2 linked regions of the Xenopus tropicalis genome follow. The protein of the gene in region 1 binds, or shares a complex with, the protein of each later gene. Links are inferred from orthologs where the notes say so. Each region holds a gene or a part of one and is shown on either strand. Other genes may lie near its edges.

Evidence for each region.
Region 2: the proteins of pds5b (region 1) and wapl are in contact, whole or in part, in a crystal structure (PDB 5HDT), measured with the Homo sapiens proteins. The link is inferred for Xenopus tropicalis from reciprocal best matches to the Homo sapiens genes PDS5B and WAPL. Residues at the interface, in NP_055847.1 of Homo sapiens: Gln47, Phe88, Ala92, Pro93, Ala95, Trp137, Val138, Lys139, Ser140, Asn142, Ile143, Phe145, Glu146, Glu187, Gly188, Asp189; in NP_055860.1 of Homo sapiens: Lys7, Thr8, Tyr9, Ser10, Arg11.

The regions. Positions count from the first base shown.
Region 1 is NC_030678.2:153,044,384-153,053,070, reverse strand, and holds the end of pds5b (sister chromatid cohesion protein PDS5 homolog B), read left to right. Parts: intron 1-980; coding exon 981-1,126; intron 1,127-1,232; coding exon 1,233-1,341; intron 1,342-1,703; coding exon 1,704-2,152; intron 2,153-2,235; coding exon 2,236-2,334; intron 2,335-3,396; coding exon 3,397-3,541; intron 3,542-4,619; coding exon 4,620-4,649; 3' UTR 4,650-5,089; downstream 5,090-8,687. UniProt on the Homo sapiens protein: Regulator of sister chromatid cohesion in mitosis which may stabilize cohesin complex association with chromatin. May couple sister chromatid cohesion during mitosis to DNA replication.
Region 2 is NC_030683.2:49,056,311-49,065,135, reverse strand, and holds part of wapl (wings apart-like protein homolog), read left to right. Parts: intron 1-501; coding exon 502-651; intron 652-4,856; coding exon 4,857-4,993; intron 4,994-5,447; coding exon 5,448-5,559; intron 5,560-7,438; coding exon 7,439-7,663; intron 7,664-8,436; coding exon 8,437-8,548; intron 8,549-8,825. UniProt on the Homo sapiens protein: Regulator of sister chromatid cohesion in mitosis which negatively regulates cohesin association with chromatin. Involved in both sister chromatid cohesion during interphase and sister-chromatid resolution during early stages of mitosis.

The sequences.
Region 1 (8,687 bases):
GATTCATTTGTTTTACAAATTGTAAAATACTTTTTCTCTCACTCTTTATCCTTCTAAAAGCGTTACTGTTTGTGCAGCCCAAGCAGCTGTATTTGCTTTTGTTAAATTCCTACCTCGTCTCAAGAAACCAAGGTACAAAATGTGTTTGATGTGATTGAAAAACATCAAATGCCGAGATATCAAACAAATTAATTCATAAGCTAACATCACAAGTCTCGCTTTGATATTTCTCTGCCCATTTTGCAGACCTTTTAATAATATGCTCTTTTTTTTTTTTCTCCAATGTTTGCATTCACTTACTTTTAGAGCAGCAATTTTTGACTTTCAGACACACAAGCTGGTGGAATGGATGTATAGGCAGAAGCTACACTATGAGCAGCTCTTGCGTCAGCATCATTTATTTATATAGCGCCAGCAGTGCCATAGATTAATTATAACAAACTGGATCAGAGGGCCCTGCTCTTAAGAGCTTACAATCTAAAGGGCTTAAGTTTTCCTATCTGGGGCAGGTACCATTCACCATGCCACTATCCCATGTGGGGGGACGCCATTCTTTTGCAACAAATTTAAATTAGGTTGTATGTGAGCTTTAATTTATATTTATGGCATCCATATGGAGTAACAATTTTGTGCATGTTTCTTCATGTTTTTTGTGCTAGTGTGGATATCAGTCAGTCACTTACGTATAGAAATAATTGCCACTGGGTACGGCTCTTTTTGAGAATTTTAGTACCAGTTGACTGCTCAAAGCAAATAGAGGAATATGCTTATAAGGTGATCCAGGTGCTAACAGCCCTACTTTGGTTGGGGGTAACAAAAGTGTTCTACTTCTAGTGAGTGTTACTGCTTGTTGGGGCACACACTCATGCATAAGGAGTAAGCATCCCAGGCTGTGGGTTGTAGGATCATGGGACACATCAACCATCAAATTATTTTGCCTACCAAATATTAAAATCTTATATTTCTCCTTTTTCTTTCAGCCAAAATCTACAAATGTTCTGGGTGCCGTCAATAAGCCCTTATCAAGCGCAGGAAAGCAAATGCAGTCCAAGTCATCTAGAATGGAGACTGTAAGCAACGCTAGCAGTGGTTCTAACCCAAGCTCTCCTGGGAGGATTAAGGGAAGGTATGACCAGATGTGTTATTTGCCCTTGCTATTACAATGTAAAGGAGACTGGTTGATTTATATTGACTGGTTGATTTATATTGTGCTTTCTTATAATAAATGACAGACTTGACAGTACAGAATTGGATCAGAGTGAAAATGAAGATTACACAATGATGTCTTCTCCTCTGTCTGGAAAAAAAAGTGATAAAAGGGACGACTCCGACCTTTTGAAGGTAGGACAATTTTATTTTGTTATTGAAGTTTTATGAAATGTTGCAGAGTAACATCAGATTTCATATCAATATTCTTGTTTGCTAGTTTTAAAGCAGCATGCTAACAGAAAAATAATTTCTACATGTACTTTATAAATCTGGCAACAATATCATCAATTCTGAACATAGTGTAATCAAATGATTGGTTGGTTGCGTGTGAACACTTGTGCTCATTAGTATTCACCCAGACAGCTTCAGTAACTGCTACTAACCAGAGCATGTTAATTTTATACAAGGGAGTTGTTGTCTTTTTTTCTGGAGTAGGCTCATATTAAGTTTATTTTTGTGGAAAACAATGATAATTGCTTTTTTTTTCTTTGTAGTCTGAGGTAGAAAAGCCAAGGCGAGGAAGAAAGCAGTCTCTTATAGATCAAGATGACAGTATATGCATGGATGAATTATCAAAACCTGTGCAGGAACCAAAGTCAAGGACTAGTCAGCGAGGAAGAAAGCGAGCTGCAGCTTCTTCTGAATCAGAGGAACAACCATGGCAGGAGAAAAGGCTAAAAGAAGACATGTTGGAAAATGAAGATGAACAAAATAGCCCACCTAAAAAGGGAAGAAGAGGGCGACCACCTAAGTCAGCTAAAATGGCCCTTTCAAAAGAGGAACCTTCAGCCACAACTCCTAAAAGGGGGAGGAAAAAGGCTGCACCAGTAGAAAGTGTTCAAGCAGAAGAAGAGGATAATCTAGAAATAAGTGAAGAGCAAGATGCTGAAAACATAGTGCAGAAGCGGAAAGGCAGGGGCTCATCAAGAAGGACTCCTCAAAAGTAAGTGCTGTGCTTTTTATTTCTGACTCCCCAAAAAGCGAACTTATAATTGTTGTTGTACTAAATTGAGTCTGCATTATCAGGTCTGATTCAACCGATTCTCTTCTCAACACCAGTCAGCCTACACCACAGAAGAGGAGAGGAAGGCCACCCAAAGCTTCCACAGTGCAGGAAAAGAAAGGGTACACACTAAAGCTTTATCCAATTTCAATTCTTGTGTTCTACATAGTTCTAAAAATTAGAATTCTAATTTGAATTAAAAGTTTTGTTTTAAGCTTTTACTTAGTTACCTAGTTCGCTCTTTAGAGCAGGTTGTAAGTTCAGATTTTTACTCCCAGTTAAATGCCATGTAAAGTGAGCCTGTTCGAAGAGCTCATGCTCTGTCCTTTAAACTGGGACCCCAATGACTGTTTTCATGATCAATAATGTGGTCTTTGTTCAGCTACAGATTCATCAATTTAGCTGTAAAAATTCTATTGCAAGAGAACTACATACGGCTAGAGAATATATAGGGTACCCTGTAGGATATGCACAACTCTGTCATTTGCTCTTATCATTGGCTCATTGGCCACACAACCCCTGATAAGATCCATCACAAAACTGGCCAAATTGGGAAACAATTGCTCCTTTAGAAAGTCCCTGAACTGAGTATCTTCCAGTGTACGGACAGTTTAAATTGCCCTCATAGTGAAGTTATATAAATGATTAGAACTTGACTCTGTTTTATATAATGTATCAGATTTTGAAACGTTTTATTTAGCTTTTTTGGAGGGATTGCCACCTTGGTCCTAAGACTTGACTTTCGTTTAGGCTACCCATCCACCGGATAACAAAATCATGTTTTAGCTTTTATATACTACATACCAAAGAAATCAGGCATTCTTTATTTGGATTAAAAATTTAACTTTAAAGCGAAAGACATAAGAGCACTACAAACATTCCATTGGTATATTTACTGTTATTATTTTTGTAAAACCATTGTAATCTCTTGCAGGCCTGAACTGTCAAATGCCAAAGTGGCTTCTGTAAGATGCCATAGACGGATGCCAATATCACTATTTATTGGGCCTGTTTGGGCCTCTGTGTACTTGAAACACCAGGGCCTAGTGAATCCCAGTCCAGACCTGGCTTCCTCTCCCTGCTGTAGTTAATAAAATCAACACATACTGCACTTGCAGTAACATAAGCTAAAATACAGCTTTGCTGCACCAAAATGTACTCATTTTAATTTTTCCTTTCTTAAGCAATGTTGGGCGACCAAGAAAGGTAGTAAGTAAAGAACCAGAATCTGAAGAAGAAATCGAAATGTCCCAGAATAGTCCAGCTCTTAGTGAAAACAATTCTAATGAAGAGGAAACTGCAGACGAAGAAGTAGTTGTTCCTAGTACTGTAAGTATTCCCTAAATTTTACTTGCTCTATAGGCACTTAAAGGAAAAGTAGCACCAAAAAAATGAGTGTTTTAAATTAATTAAAATATAACATACTCTTGCCCCTCACTGGTAAGTCTGGTGTCAACTTTTCCAATAATGTGTCATATCTACTGTCTGATACAGTAGGTAGGTGGACTTGTACTCCACGCAGATTCTGTTTCTAGATGCTATCAGGATTAAGCAATCTTATCATTAGCTAAATTTGCTAAAAAGGTAAAATTGAAGTGTTTTCTAGAATTTCATTATTTTTCTCAGGGTTAAAAGGGCTCCCCAAAAATGTTTAATGCGTAATAAAAGAAAATGTAATGCTACGCCGGGTTGCCTAGGGAAGCCTTAGGCAACCTGGCCAGCCTCTCCCCCCCACCCCAGGGACCCAGAGGGGTAGGTGACAGAAGAGGTACATGCCTAGTGCCCCTCCGCCGTTATGCCCTAGGCACGTGTCTCTTCTGCCCAGCCCTAGTCCTGGCCCTGATGATATTTATTTAAAACAGTCCCTTGTACTTGACCCTAAACTAGCATAAATTTGTGTTGGGGGCAGCCGTAATGGGTTTATGTAACGTTTAAATATTTTTTCAGTAGGCTTAAACTAATCCAAATTACAGACAGATCCCTTATCCAGAAATCCCAGGTCCCAAGCATTCTGAATAATAAATTCCATTTGTGTAGTTACCTGCAAATAAGCCTTCAGTTATCTGGTACTGGTCCATGTGTCGAAAGAAACCACCGGAAAAATGATTAAACATGGTGATGCACTTCTCACATAGAATATTCCATGGGTTGGTGCGTTTTTCACCCAATATGGATAAAGTGTAGTTTTGTAACCGTCATGTAGTTGCAAAAAAGAGCCATAAAGCCACTTTCATCATTATAAGGGTCAACTGACAGAATGGTTGAACACTATTGTAATTTTTACATTTATATTAACTCATCATTTAATACCTTAATTAAACACAAATTCAATGACAATGTTGCATTGTATTCTTGCGGGTGGTTTGCCATTAATCATTAAATAATGTCTGAATTTTATATACCCCAGGGAAGGCGCAGATCTGCCAAAAAGCGATGAAGCCGGACAAAGCAGAAGTCTGAAGCTGAAGTGAACTAGAAGGGCCACTGCTATAGGAGCCGGCGCGAGGCTGCTCGTGCATAGGAGACGCCGACGAACGACAACACGCTTAAACATTAAATATCATATCCCTTCATTTACAGCCACAATCGTTTGTCATTAGCTGTGGGTACTTTACGTGATTTGTAATGTGTGCTGGACATGTAGACATGAACGTGTAAATAGCGATTTTTTTTTTTTAATGTTTCATAAAGTGCTTGTATAGCTTTTTGTTTTGCAGCTTTAAACTGACTTTACCTGAATGGACGTCAGAAGATTTTTACATACGATGGACAAATGAAAGATATCAAAAAAAGATTCATATGGAATTGAAGCAATATTTGCTGTTTTTTGTGGACCCCTCCCATCCCACGTCGCATATTACTGTGAAAAAAAAAAAATCTTGCCGTTGATTTACTGCAAAGCTAAATGGCCTTTTTATCTTCCACTCTTGTCTCCGGGCACCTCTTTTCCGCTTTGGCGCTGCCCTGACTTTGAGAACAGATTCTCCATAGGATAACTCCATACACAGCAGAATTCAATTGTGTGCGTAACCAAATGTTGTCATTCTCCAACTCAGTATTCCTGCCAGGCTGACTGTATTATGGCATTGCATATTATAGGAAGAGGTTTTAAAATATTTAAATTTTTTAACATTTTGGCGCTATTAAATAATGTATGAAAGATGCTACCTAAGTGATGATCTTTTAGTTTTTGGTAACCAACAGTGTCAATAAAATTCTGTATTGTTGTCCCCGCCCAATATTTCTTAATGCATTTAGATATTTATACGAAAACAGTACCCCCCAGATTGGTAAGTGTTACTAAATCCATTGGTCACATTGTGTCTGACGCACTGAAGCTTTCCTAGTGGAAAACTCATTCTGTTCTCGGGGTGGAAATTCTTTCAGTACTTTATATATAAAGTTATTGCAATTGTTGAAAGCATATTGTCTTGTAAAAATGCTAGAGCATAGGCAACGTGCCCTTTACAATGCTTTGCTACAATTAAAGGTGTAAGTATGTCCTTTTTTTTAAAGGTTTGCATGTCTGTGATCAGTTCTGGGGCTGAGGGTTGTGTTGATTTTGAAAGTGTTCATTTTAAAAGTGGTATTTTCTAGAAATAGTCCTTCAAAAGCTGCCTCTATTTCTGTGCCAACTGAGAATTCTACATTGAGACTTAGGGAACAGAAGAGCCGTTTCTATCAGAAAATCTGGTGAGGACATTATTGAAGAATGCGCCTATACACGTGCATTGTTGGGTGGCTCCGTTTCATAGACCTCCCTGTGTACACAGTGTACTTTTTAAAATTATATAGAGAGATGAACAGCTTTGCAATGTATACATTAATGAGAATATAGCGTCATTTATAAAGGCATCTAAACTTTCCAGAACAATCTCTCACCTTTTGTTCATTGGTACATGTGAATCAGATCCTAGTGTATTCTGAAGTCAAGCCTAATGCCTTGTCTGTCTGTTTTTTATGTTTTTTGTTTTTTTTTTTACTTCAATTGCTGATTTTGTTCATTAGATTTTGTTTTCTGTATATGTCTGTTTACATTTCTTTAATGAAGTCATTTTTTGAAAGGGAATAGTTCAGTCTGTATTGGTTTTATTACCATTATTATCTCTTGGATATGGAATAGTAAGTAAGGCGTGACACAAGCTGCTGGATTAAGCCTCACTTGGCCATGGGGTGAGTTAAACTTCATTTCCAAAAAATCCTATTTCCTCATAACTTGGCCATTGCTCCAAACAAAGCAACACGTGACATCATCTTCAGTGATGTTTTTCAGAGACACTTTGCAAATGAGACTGTCACCAGAGCCTTGACACCATCTAACTTGCAAATCACTGGTGGGAAAATATGCGTGGCAAAAAATTGGCCAATGTTTCTTTACAAGGAAAGCCAAAATGCAGTGTATGTTTCCCACCAGCTATTTGCATGTTAGCTGCTGGGAAGGAAACAAGGGACGTTTTGTCGACATTCTATCTGTATTGGCTACAGCCAGTGAGACTTGGATAAACAAATACACAGTTGCTTATTGATTTTTGTACTAGGCCCTAAAAACTCAGGTATTTGTTAGAGAATATACTGAATAGGGTAAAGCATACAAAGTCAGTCAGTTTGCAGTAGGGCTAGTTAACCATCATCATCTATCCATCACTGCATTAGGGCAGGGTAGAGAGGAGGTGGTAATGAGGGTGAAGAAGGTATAATATAAGCAGTTATGTTAGATGGGAAAAAATGAGAACCAAGACAGCTGCACTGTCTGATACCGCAAGGGGTATATTTGCTCCCACTTTGTTCCCTGTGATGATCAGCTTTGAAACTAACCTTTGGGTGATGAGCTAGGAAACTCCATTGCACTTCTATACCCCATAACTTGCCTGCAGCAGGGGAATACAAGCCACTTCCTCCTCTTTAGGTTGCAGCTAATTTGTATTAATGACTTTTATGCGTGGGTAGAAATAGTACAGAATAGTACAGATAAGAGTAAGGATGATGTTGACTGACAGCTTATAATATAGCAGTATATGTTTTATATTAAGGTTAAAGTAATACTTGCATTGTCTGCTTTCCCATGCCGGAGTGGTGATCTCTGTTTTATGAAGATGAATTTGTACTTTATTTGTTTTATATGTATAAAGTTTATTTTATAAGAGCTACCATTCTGTACTAAAACTAACCTATGCTGATACTAGAACCCAATAATAAAGGGGTTCATAACCTGCAGTGTAACTTGCTGGCAGTTGGATAATGAAGTGATGGGACTGGAATCACGTGAATTCGGATTTGCAGAGAAAACCATTCAGTATCCTTAATCACAGGGCTACATTCTTGCACCTCCTGGAATGCACAACTGCTTATTTATAATCTGACATTCCCCTTTTCTGTACCCCACTACCCTTTGGTCTGTGCTATATTACTCGGTGTTCTTTTGCTATATTTCTGTATAGGACTGTATGTTATGGCTGGCAAACAAATATACATTTTACAGTAAAATGTGTAAATACTTTTTTTTTGTGATCTAACATCCTTGCAAGCCTCCAAACAGAAGCTATATGACAGATTAAAGAAAAAAAACAGAGAATACTATGCTTACAATGACTTGGTTATGCAGCTGCCTAGCAATGATTGGTCACGTCATGAAGTCTCAGGCGACTAAGACGCATCATTGCACAAAGCATGTACTTAATGCCAGTGTTCCATGCAGTTTCATTCCCTTGATCAATATTCTTGTTTTTCTGTTTCACTGACAAGTGCTGTTTCTTTTATTTTTTCCTTTGAGACTGAAACATTTCAGTCATGTTTTGTGACTTAATTTTCAAATAAATGATGTGATTTTTTTTTTCATAGACTTATGTGCCTGGGTCCTGATTTATATTTAAAATGTGTACATTATTAAACTGATGGTGCAAATGAGGTGACGTTCTGTGCCATTCTCAGTATTGTTGCATCACAGATTATATTATATATTAGTTGTAAGTTAGTCAAAGTTTGTCAAAAATATCTGGACAGAATGTTTTAATATTGTCAAAAATATTGACACAAATTTTCTGTAGATACACTTATTGCTGAGTTCCAAACTGTCTCCAGAAGCAGTGTTGGCACCTTCATTTGTATGGAGTATGGGGTTTTTTGGGGTGATCAGAGGCCAATGAATGTAAGAAACCATGTGTAAATCCAAAGTTGAATGGAGCGGTATAAAGGTCACTGCCATTGGGCTGTGAATAGTGGCATTTCACCATCTGGCAGTCTAAAGGGAAAGGCTGGGTTTGGTAGATACTACCTGCATAATCTTATGGTAAGATCTGATAAAAGAGCAATAATGGTCTGGTTTGGGCCCCTTGGTTATGTTGAGAGCAGGTGTTTATTATTCTGTGCTTTCTACTTTGGGGCAATAGAAACACACTCCTGTTCAGCACAATAATGGCCATACAGAATGGATTTATTGAGATGGGAATGGAAGACCTTGACTTTTCACAGAGTCGTG
Region 2 (8,825 bases), on another chromosome or scaffold:
TATATGTTTTGACAGTTTTGAATGCAAAAGAATAACTATTAAAGCACCTCCTTAAAATAGTCCAATTTAAATGTCAAAAAAGCTGAATTTACAGTGGAATGCTAATATTTTGGGCATTTTTCTGGTTAATTTAGTCACTAAAATTATATCTCAGGTTGGCACTTATGTGGAAGCACCACCTCCATCTTTTACTCACCAAACTTACACTTGCAGTGGCAGTACTGTGCAGTGGCCTCATTTTTTGATTTTGGTGTACCTGTGTGCACAGCGAGAACTTCCTTATTGAATTTACAGGGAGGTTCCTAATATATTTAAAGTGGACAGAAAATTCAGCTATGTTGTCCTAATAAGCTTGTATTTTTGTTTTCTTTAGAAAGGTGTTGATGGAAACCTTTTTAGCAGCATGATACGTGATTGTATGTCTGTAGTCCTCTGTACATTTTGTTCTTGGGCTTTATTATGCAATTTACAGTGATGTTTGCCCTATTTATCTGTTTTTAGGCAAAGCCATCAGATGCACCATGCGCAAAAGATGACGGGGTATTTAAGGCTCCAGCACCTCCTCCTAAAGTGATAAAAACTGTTACAATTCCCACACAACCATATCAGGATATTGTGACAGCACTAAAATGCAGAAAGGAGCACAAGGAAGTGAGTGCTTGTATTTTTTTCTCCCATTTTCTTTTCAAATGTTTTTAGAGTAGTTTGTACATTGCTTAATTTGTTTTGACCTTTTAGGCCTACGACATAGACTGTGTCTTTGCCAATACGAAAAGCATTAATGGTTAGAATGCCCCTTTTTGCCTTTCACCGCTTTCCATAAATTTTCCTCTCTCATTACTAGGCCTGATGTAGGCAAGGCATTTCCCAAGCACCTCTAAGGGGAACCATTTCTTTTAACCATGTCTAAAATTTAATGTGGCCCTTCAAGTAATTTTATGGCCTACTTTATGCCCAAGATCTCCACCTAGGCAAAAATAAAATATTTTGTCAGTGTTATTATAATCCATCCATGCAAAATAGCTGACAGTTATCCCATTGCATTGAAAAACCTTGGACAGTACTGCCTTAATGGAGTGACATAACATTAACATTAGATCTGACATACCATCGTTGTATACATTTATTTGTGTTACACTTCTCATGCCAGTGCAGCAGTGCTCTAGTATTGCATGGGTTAAACTACTTTCTTTTAGCTGGAGAGACACTTAAGGTGGCAATACACGCTAAGAATCTTCTCCCGATAACCCCGCCTAAGGTCGGGTGATATCTGGCTAATTCGGTCTTTTGGCCCTGGGCCAAACTATCAAATTAGAATGGCAGGTATAGGCACCGTTGGTTCAGGACCCGCATCAACTAGCCGATGTGGTACCTGATCCAACGGAAAAATCATCTGCCCTATAGAGATCTGACTGATTTCAGGCCTTCTGCACTCACCATTCTAGGGTGATTTTCTTTGGGACATAAATCAGACACGCCCTCATGTGTGATAACATTCTGATATAATTCTGAAACACAGTATGCCCATATTATTCCAATGATATGTTGGTATCATATGCCAGTAACTGGGTAGCTGCTGAACAAAAAGTGAAATAATTCAAAAAACACAAAAGTAATCAGATTCTCGGAATCATTGTCTGCATCATAATAAATGTTAATATAAAAGCAAACTACACTTGTAAAGGGCATGTAAAGCCTACATTTACAATGTGTATAAGATGGGCACATCTCCCTCACCCAAATGTACTGCATATATCCCCTCCATTTTCCAGCGCCATCACACCCAGTGGCTATTTTTCCTCTGAAGCACCATAAGTGCATTACATCTGCACAAAAGCACAGGTGCACTATAAAGTACACGCAGTGAAGAATGCGTGCTTCTGCAGGCAAAACTTACTGTGATCCTGCTTGGATTGAAATGGTTAAGCTGATTTCAGGAGAGGAGGTTAGGAGAAAAAATAGGTGCAGACAGCTAGAACAGAGTTTCTATGGAAACCAGCAATGCGAAGAGCAGAGCTGAGCACGCTTAGTAGCCAACAGCCAAAGTAAATTCCTGAGAGAGCGCTGAGTAGGTTAGAGGAGGACAAGGAAGAAAGGGTAAGTAATTAAGGGGATGATGCATCCTCACTATTAACCTTTGAACAACTGGAGCAACAGATTTTTAAAGATTTCAGGGAGGTTTACATGTCCTAAAAGAAAACCGTACCCCTGAACATTGGGGGCAGTCCGCTCTTTGGTGTGCTCAGAAACTAAAGGCACACATACATGCTGGTCTATATGAGCCAATGAATGGACAGAGCTCTGTCATCTACTCTCACACATTATTTCCTGTCAGGTGATCTCTGAAGGACCTACACTAAATAGTGGCTCAAGGGAAAAGATGTACCGTATATACTCGAGTATAAGCCTCGAGTATAACCCTCTGCTTATACTCGAGACCCTCCTGACCCCCTGCTGGTGATTCCCGCTGCCCCCGCCAACACGACAGCCTACCCTCAACCAACTCTAAAGCCCCACACGCACACACACTGCACGGACAAAAACTCCTGCAAAACTAAGTCGCAGTTTTACATACCGGCACTTGCGACTTAAAGTTCCCTCAGTCCCGCTCTCTGCTTATGCCAGCTTCCCAGAACCGCCATCCTCCTAACTGTGCACTCCTCTGCTCTGCTGTGCGCGCTTCTGTTCTGCTGGGCGCCGCAGTCGCACCAGTGACGTCACGCACCCCCTTCAGTTACCTATACCTTCTAAGATGAGGCCATGAGTAACTGAAGGGGGCGCATGACGTCACTGGTGCGACTGCGGCGCCCAGCAGAACAGAAGCGCGCACAGCAGAAGAGCACACAGTTAGGAGGATGACGGTTCTGGGAAGCTGGTTTTGGCTACACTGCCTGACCACCTTGGAATGTATGGAAAGTTGGCTTTACAACAGATAATAATGTGATCCCGTTGATAGAGGTTTTATCTGTCATGATGGAAATTTTTCATCGGTTTGTAATGGAACTGCCCATAACTGGTAGATCCTCAATAAGAAAAAGGGGACTAGGAAGGCCTTTACTGCAAGAAGAAGGTATGTAGCAAGTCAATGTGAGGAACCAAGGCAGAATTTATTGAGAGCTTCTCACAGTTGTAGCAGATACTGGTTTCTGGCTCCCCTATATCTCGGTCATGATCAGCATGCAGTGCATAAGCCTCTGAGCTGTCACTATGGCTCCACTAGGTTCCCAATAGTCTAATCCTAAACACTCTAGTTCCCTGGCACTCAACTGCCTTGGGTCTCTTCTCCAAATAATCCCTCTTCGATGGGACAAACTGTCCTTATACCCTGGCTATCTTGCACTCCTAGAGAGACATAACATAAATCTCCTAACCCACTTCCTAGAACTAACATGGTACTGCCTGCCACCTGGTCTGGCTCTGTGGTCGTTTTGCTTGACGTTCCTAGGCCAAACAGGAAGTCTCTAGCTACTGAACTTTCTTATATACATGTAAGTTCCTGTAGAGGAATTCCCCCACAGGCCAACTTGTTACACTCTTGTCTAACTATTGCCTATTATACACTCTTGCATCTCTATTTAAGTGTGGACTTACTCGGGTATATAGGCAGGAGCAATAGGTTAATGTCAGTATGCTTTCTGCTGAGAATGGGGTGATCTGTGTCAGTTATCTATTATCAGTTCTCAAGCAATATCGTGTAACAAGATTATCCTGCTGTGCTTCGTGTGCTGGCTCGCTCGCACCAGCCCTACTGGTGACACCCTAGGCTTATACTCGAGTCAATAGGTTTTTCCAGTTTTCTTAGGTAAAATTAGGTACCTCGGCTTATATTCGGATCGGCTTATACTCGAGTATATATGGTAAATGGAAAATATTTTCTGATATACATGATTTGTTGATTAAGTATTCATTCCGTATAACTTCAGTACAGCGAGTGGGAAGGAGATTCACAGACCAAAAATGTTTGTCCTTTTAAAAAGATAGAAAACCTCACAGGAATGAAATGTAAGTGGCCAACCTAAGAATATTTACTCAGGTGTAAGAAAGGAAATGGGAAGGAAGTATCATTTAAAGGAGAAGGAAAGCTAAAAACTAAGCTTTATCAGAAAGGTCTATGTAAATACAGCCATAAGCACTCGCAGAAATGCTGCACTGAATTCTCTGCAAGAGAAACAGGATTTGTTGTCTTTGTTTTCCTGTACCGGAGACACGCAGCTCTCTCCTCTCTCCTGCTCCCGCCCCTCCCTCAAAAATGCTAAGAACCCCCCCCCCCCTTAGGAATATGTGATCTGAGCCAATCAGCAGGAAGCTTCCTCATAGTCTTACAAACTGCACATACACACCGGTCTTGGTGCAGTGCAGTGTGTGAGGAATTATGGGAACTTTCTTTACAGAGCTCAGCGTTTTTTTTCCTTTGAGACTTCTGATCAACTGAACGGGAGAAATATGGGGGGGACTTAAGGGCACTATTGAGACAACTGAAGGTATGCCTGCAGCTTGAGATATTAACTCTTTGTTAGCCTTTCCTTCTCCTTTAAATAACAGTAAAAAACAAAACTGGAATAGATTGCTTCTATTTCAAAGACTAAAGCTGGTCATACATATACTCATTTTGATTACAGTGGGTAAAAGTGCAAGTCCATTAAAAGAATAATAACAATACACTGCAGAGCTCCTTTTTCATATTTATCTAATGGGTATATGGCCATGTGAATAAAATTTTAGGTTTGTGCATCTTCTGCTAAGGTGCAACTGATTTGGCCTGTTATCTGCATGTGGTAACTTGCCCCTAAAAAGAAAGGTCTATTTTATGTATACTTTGTTTAATCTGCTGGTAACATACCTTTATTTTGTTCTAGTTATATACTGTAGTTCAGCATGTAAAGCACTTCAACGATGTTGTAGAATTTGGAGAGAATCAAGAATTCACTGATGATATTGAATATCTGCTAAGTGGGCTTAAAAGCAGTCAGCCCATAAACACACGTTGCCTTAGGTAAGAGATATATGCCTTCCTAGGCAGTGCCAACAGTCTCTGCATATATCTGCATGCATGCTTTTGGTTTTATGCCTTAAACAGATTCACTGACCTAACTGTGACAGAGGTAGTAAACTAGTCTTGTCACTGTCTTCCCCTTATTAATGTTGCAAATTATCACAAGTGGCTGATTCGGAGTTGCATATGTGATATGCTGACCACTGGCCTTTTTAAGCTGATTTCTTTGGAGGATTGGGATGACTGCTTGTACGGCTGGAATTTTTAATAAGTTATTACAAATCTATTTTAAAGAAGACTACAATTTAACTATATTTCTTATCCTGAAATCATGTCATAGGACATTTTTTTATTTTGCATCTTGATTTTTAAGAAATTATATATTTTTTTGTATAGTTCTCTCTGTTAAGATTTGTAAATTTTGTAAACTGATATATGCGTCTCCTCGTTACAGTGTAATAAGCCTGGCGACAAAATGTGCCATGCCAAGTTTCCGAATGCATCTGAGAGCGCATGGAATGGTAGCCATGGTCTTCAAAACACTGGATGATAGTCAGCAACACCAGGTATTTTCAAACCGTCAACTCAAGACTTGCTTTCATTGCACCATTAGGACTATTATAATAAAGATCATTATAATAAAAAATAACAATAATAGCCTCAGAATTTTTTAGGTCGCTGGTAACAGTAAAGCAGAAACAAATTAAAAAAAAGTGTGTGTGTATAATATATATAATTTTTTTTTTTAAGGATAAGTAAGCCTTTATCATAAAAGCCCCTCATGTCGATTCTGTGTCACAAGCAGCTAATTTCTTAGCTACTTCCTAGTCTAAAATGAAGCTCCACCGCTTTTTCTTTGCTGAGTTCTCCTTTTGATAGACATGAATGGTACTGTACTGCATGATTAGTAATGAATGTCAGTAGCACTTTGATGTGATACATCTGCTGCTAAATCATCACATCATTAGGGACAGGGATTCTGTCATGATTTTTATGGTGTCATTTTTATTTCTAAATTATGCTGTTTACATAGTAAATTATTCACTCTAACATTTTAAAATGGTAATTCTTGAACCAACAAATATATATATATTTTTTTAGTTTGTAATATTGGTGTGTAGACAGCCATCTCAGTGCATTGTGCCTGAGCTTTTAAAAAGAGCCAGCACTACACATTAGAACTGCTTTCAGATAACCTATTGTTTTTCCTGCCTCCATGTAACTGGAGGAGTCTTAGGGCTCTGGCACACAGGGAGATTAGTCGCCTGTGACAAATCTCCCTGTTCGCGGGCGACTAATCTCCCCGAAATGCCATTCCATCAGCGAAAATGTAAATCGCCGGTGGGATGGCATACGCGGTGGCGCGATTCCAGTGAAATCGCAGAAGTTTCCTCTCGAGGCAACTTCCGCGATGTCACTGAAATCGCGCCGCCGCGTATGCCATCTCACCGGCGATTTACATTTTCGCCGATAGGATGGCATTTCGGGGAGATTAGTCGCCCGCTAACAGGGAGATTTGTCACGGGCGACTAATCTCCCCATGTGCCAGAGCCCTTAAAGAAACAGTAACATCAAAAACTTAAATTGTTTTAAAGTAATTAAAATATAATGTGCTATTGCTCTGCAAAAAAACTGGTGTTTTTGCTTCAGAAAAGCTACTATATAAATAAGCTGCTGTGTAGCCATGGGGGCAGCCATTCAAGCTGGAAAAAAGGAGAAAAGGCACAGGTTACATAGCAGAAAACTAGTAGATAAGCCCCATATAATGGGGGTTTGTCTGTTATCTGCTATGTAACCTGTGCCTTTTCTCCTTTGAATGGCTGCCCCGATGGCTACACAGCAGCTTACTTATATAAACTATAGTAGTCTTTCTGAGGCAAACACACCAGTTGTACCAGTGCAGGGCAACAGTACATTATATTGTAATTACTTTTATACACTTTCATTTTTTGGTGTTACTGTTCCTTTAAGTGGGGCTTGGATTTCTTACTATTGAGTGCTATTCTGCTATCTACTGGGAGCTGCTATCTTGCTGCCTTCCCATTGTTCTGCTGATCGGCTATAACTGAAGTTTATCAGAGCTCAGGTCACATGGCTGTGGCACCCTGGGAAATGAAGAACATGGTTAACCCCATGTGAAATTTTTTGATTTTTGAAAAACAGATTTCAATGCAGGATTCTGCTCAAGAAGCTCTATTAAATGCATTTTGAAAAAAAAAACTTGTTTTGCCATGACAGTATGCCATACCCTATATTTTTTTAAAGTTGAGTGGTGCTAAGAGTTCAACAGGGCAGAACATAATCTGTCTGTTATTCATTGGCAGCTAAGCTTGACAAGGATATTTTTTCCTGAATTATCTTATTAGTTCAAAATAAGTAATGGTACATTGTTTTCATGAGCATTTATCTGTTTGTTTATATCTGGTTTTGTTTTTTCATTATTAGAATCTAGCACTTTGCACTGCTGCACTGATGTATATACTGAGCAGGGATCGCTTAAACATGGACCTAGATAGGGCGAGCTTGGATCTTATGATCCGACTTTTAGAAATGGAACAAGACCCCTCAGCCAGACAAATGAATGAGAAAGAAATGAACAAAATCAAAGAGAAGATACGCAAACTGTGTGAAACTGTCCACAACAAACATTTAGATTTGGAAAACATTACGGTACGTCCCTATCAGGGTTGTTCATTCCTTTGTAACAATTTTAAAGTAACTTATATGGCTTCTCAACAGGTTTTATGTGGCATTTAGATTTTTTATTTTTCATGATTCCTTTTTTTTTTATTTTATAGCAAATCGCAACTTTCCATAGGAAAGACCGTTTTTCTTACATGTATGGCCACATTCAGTTAAAGCTAAAGACACAAGTTACAAAATAGTCTCCCGCTTGTTGCTAGCCAAAATGCATTCCTTATAGCATAATTTGGAATGGGAAAACATTAAAGCTATGGTATTGGCAGTTAAAGGAACAGTAGCACCAAAAAATGAAAGTGTATAAAAGTAACTACGATATAATGTACTGTTGCCCTGCACTGGTGCAGCTGGTGTGTTTTGCCACTGAAAGACTACTATAGTTTATACAACCAAAGCTGCTGTGTAGCTATTCAAAGGAGCAGATAACAGTTAAAACCCAGTTATTCTACAGAGATTATCTGATATCTGCTGTGTTACCTGTGCCTTTTTTCTCATTTTTCCATCTTAAATTGCTGCCCCATAGCTACACAGCACATTATTTATATAAACTGTTGTAGTGTTTCTGTAGCAAATACACCGGTTATACCAATGCAGGGCAACAGTACATTATATTTTAATTACTTTAAAAACACTTAAATTTGTTCTATTGCAGACAAGCAGTTATTAATCCGGAAAACATTCCTACATGTGGTTGGTGTGTTTTTCTATTTATCTGTTCATTTGGCTTTTTGTCCTCAACACAGACTGGACACTTGGCAATGGAAACATTACTATCTCTTACGTCAAAACGAGCAGGAGACTGGTTTAAAGAGGAGTTAAGACTTCTAGGTGGTCTTGATCATATTGTGGATAAAGGTATGTTCTGTTGCTTTAATTATACATACAGTCCTACACCTTTAGCACTTCTGTTACACTATCCTAACTTATTTTACAGCGCTGCAGAATATGTTGGTGCTTTATAAATAAATGTTGATAATAATAATAGGAGGATAATTATGATTATAGCAATTAAATGTACACATAACTTTTTATAATATTTTATAATAAAATTGGCAATTGCCACAATTACTATTTTTTGTGTTTCTGTGTTTTAAAGTCTGTGAAATAAAATTTAACTGCCATAGCATTTGCA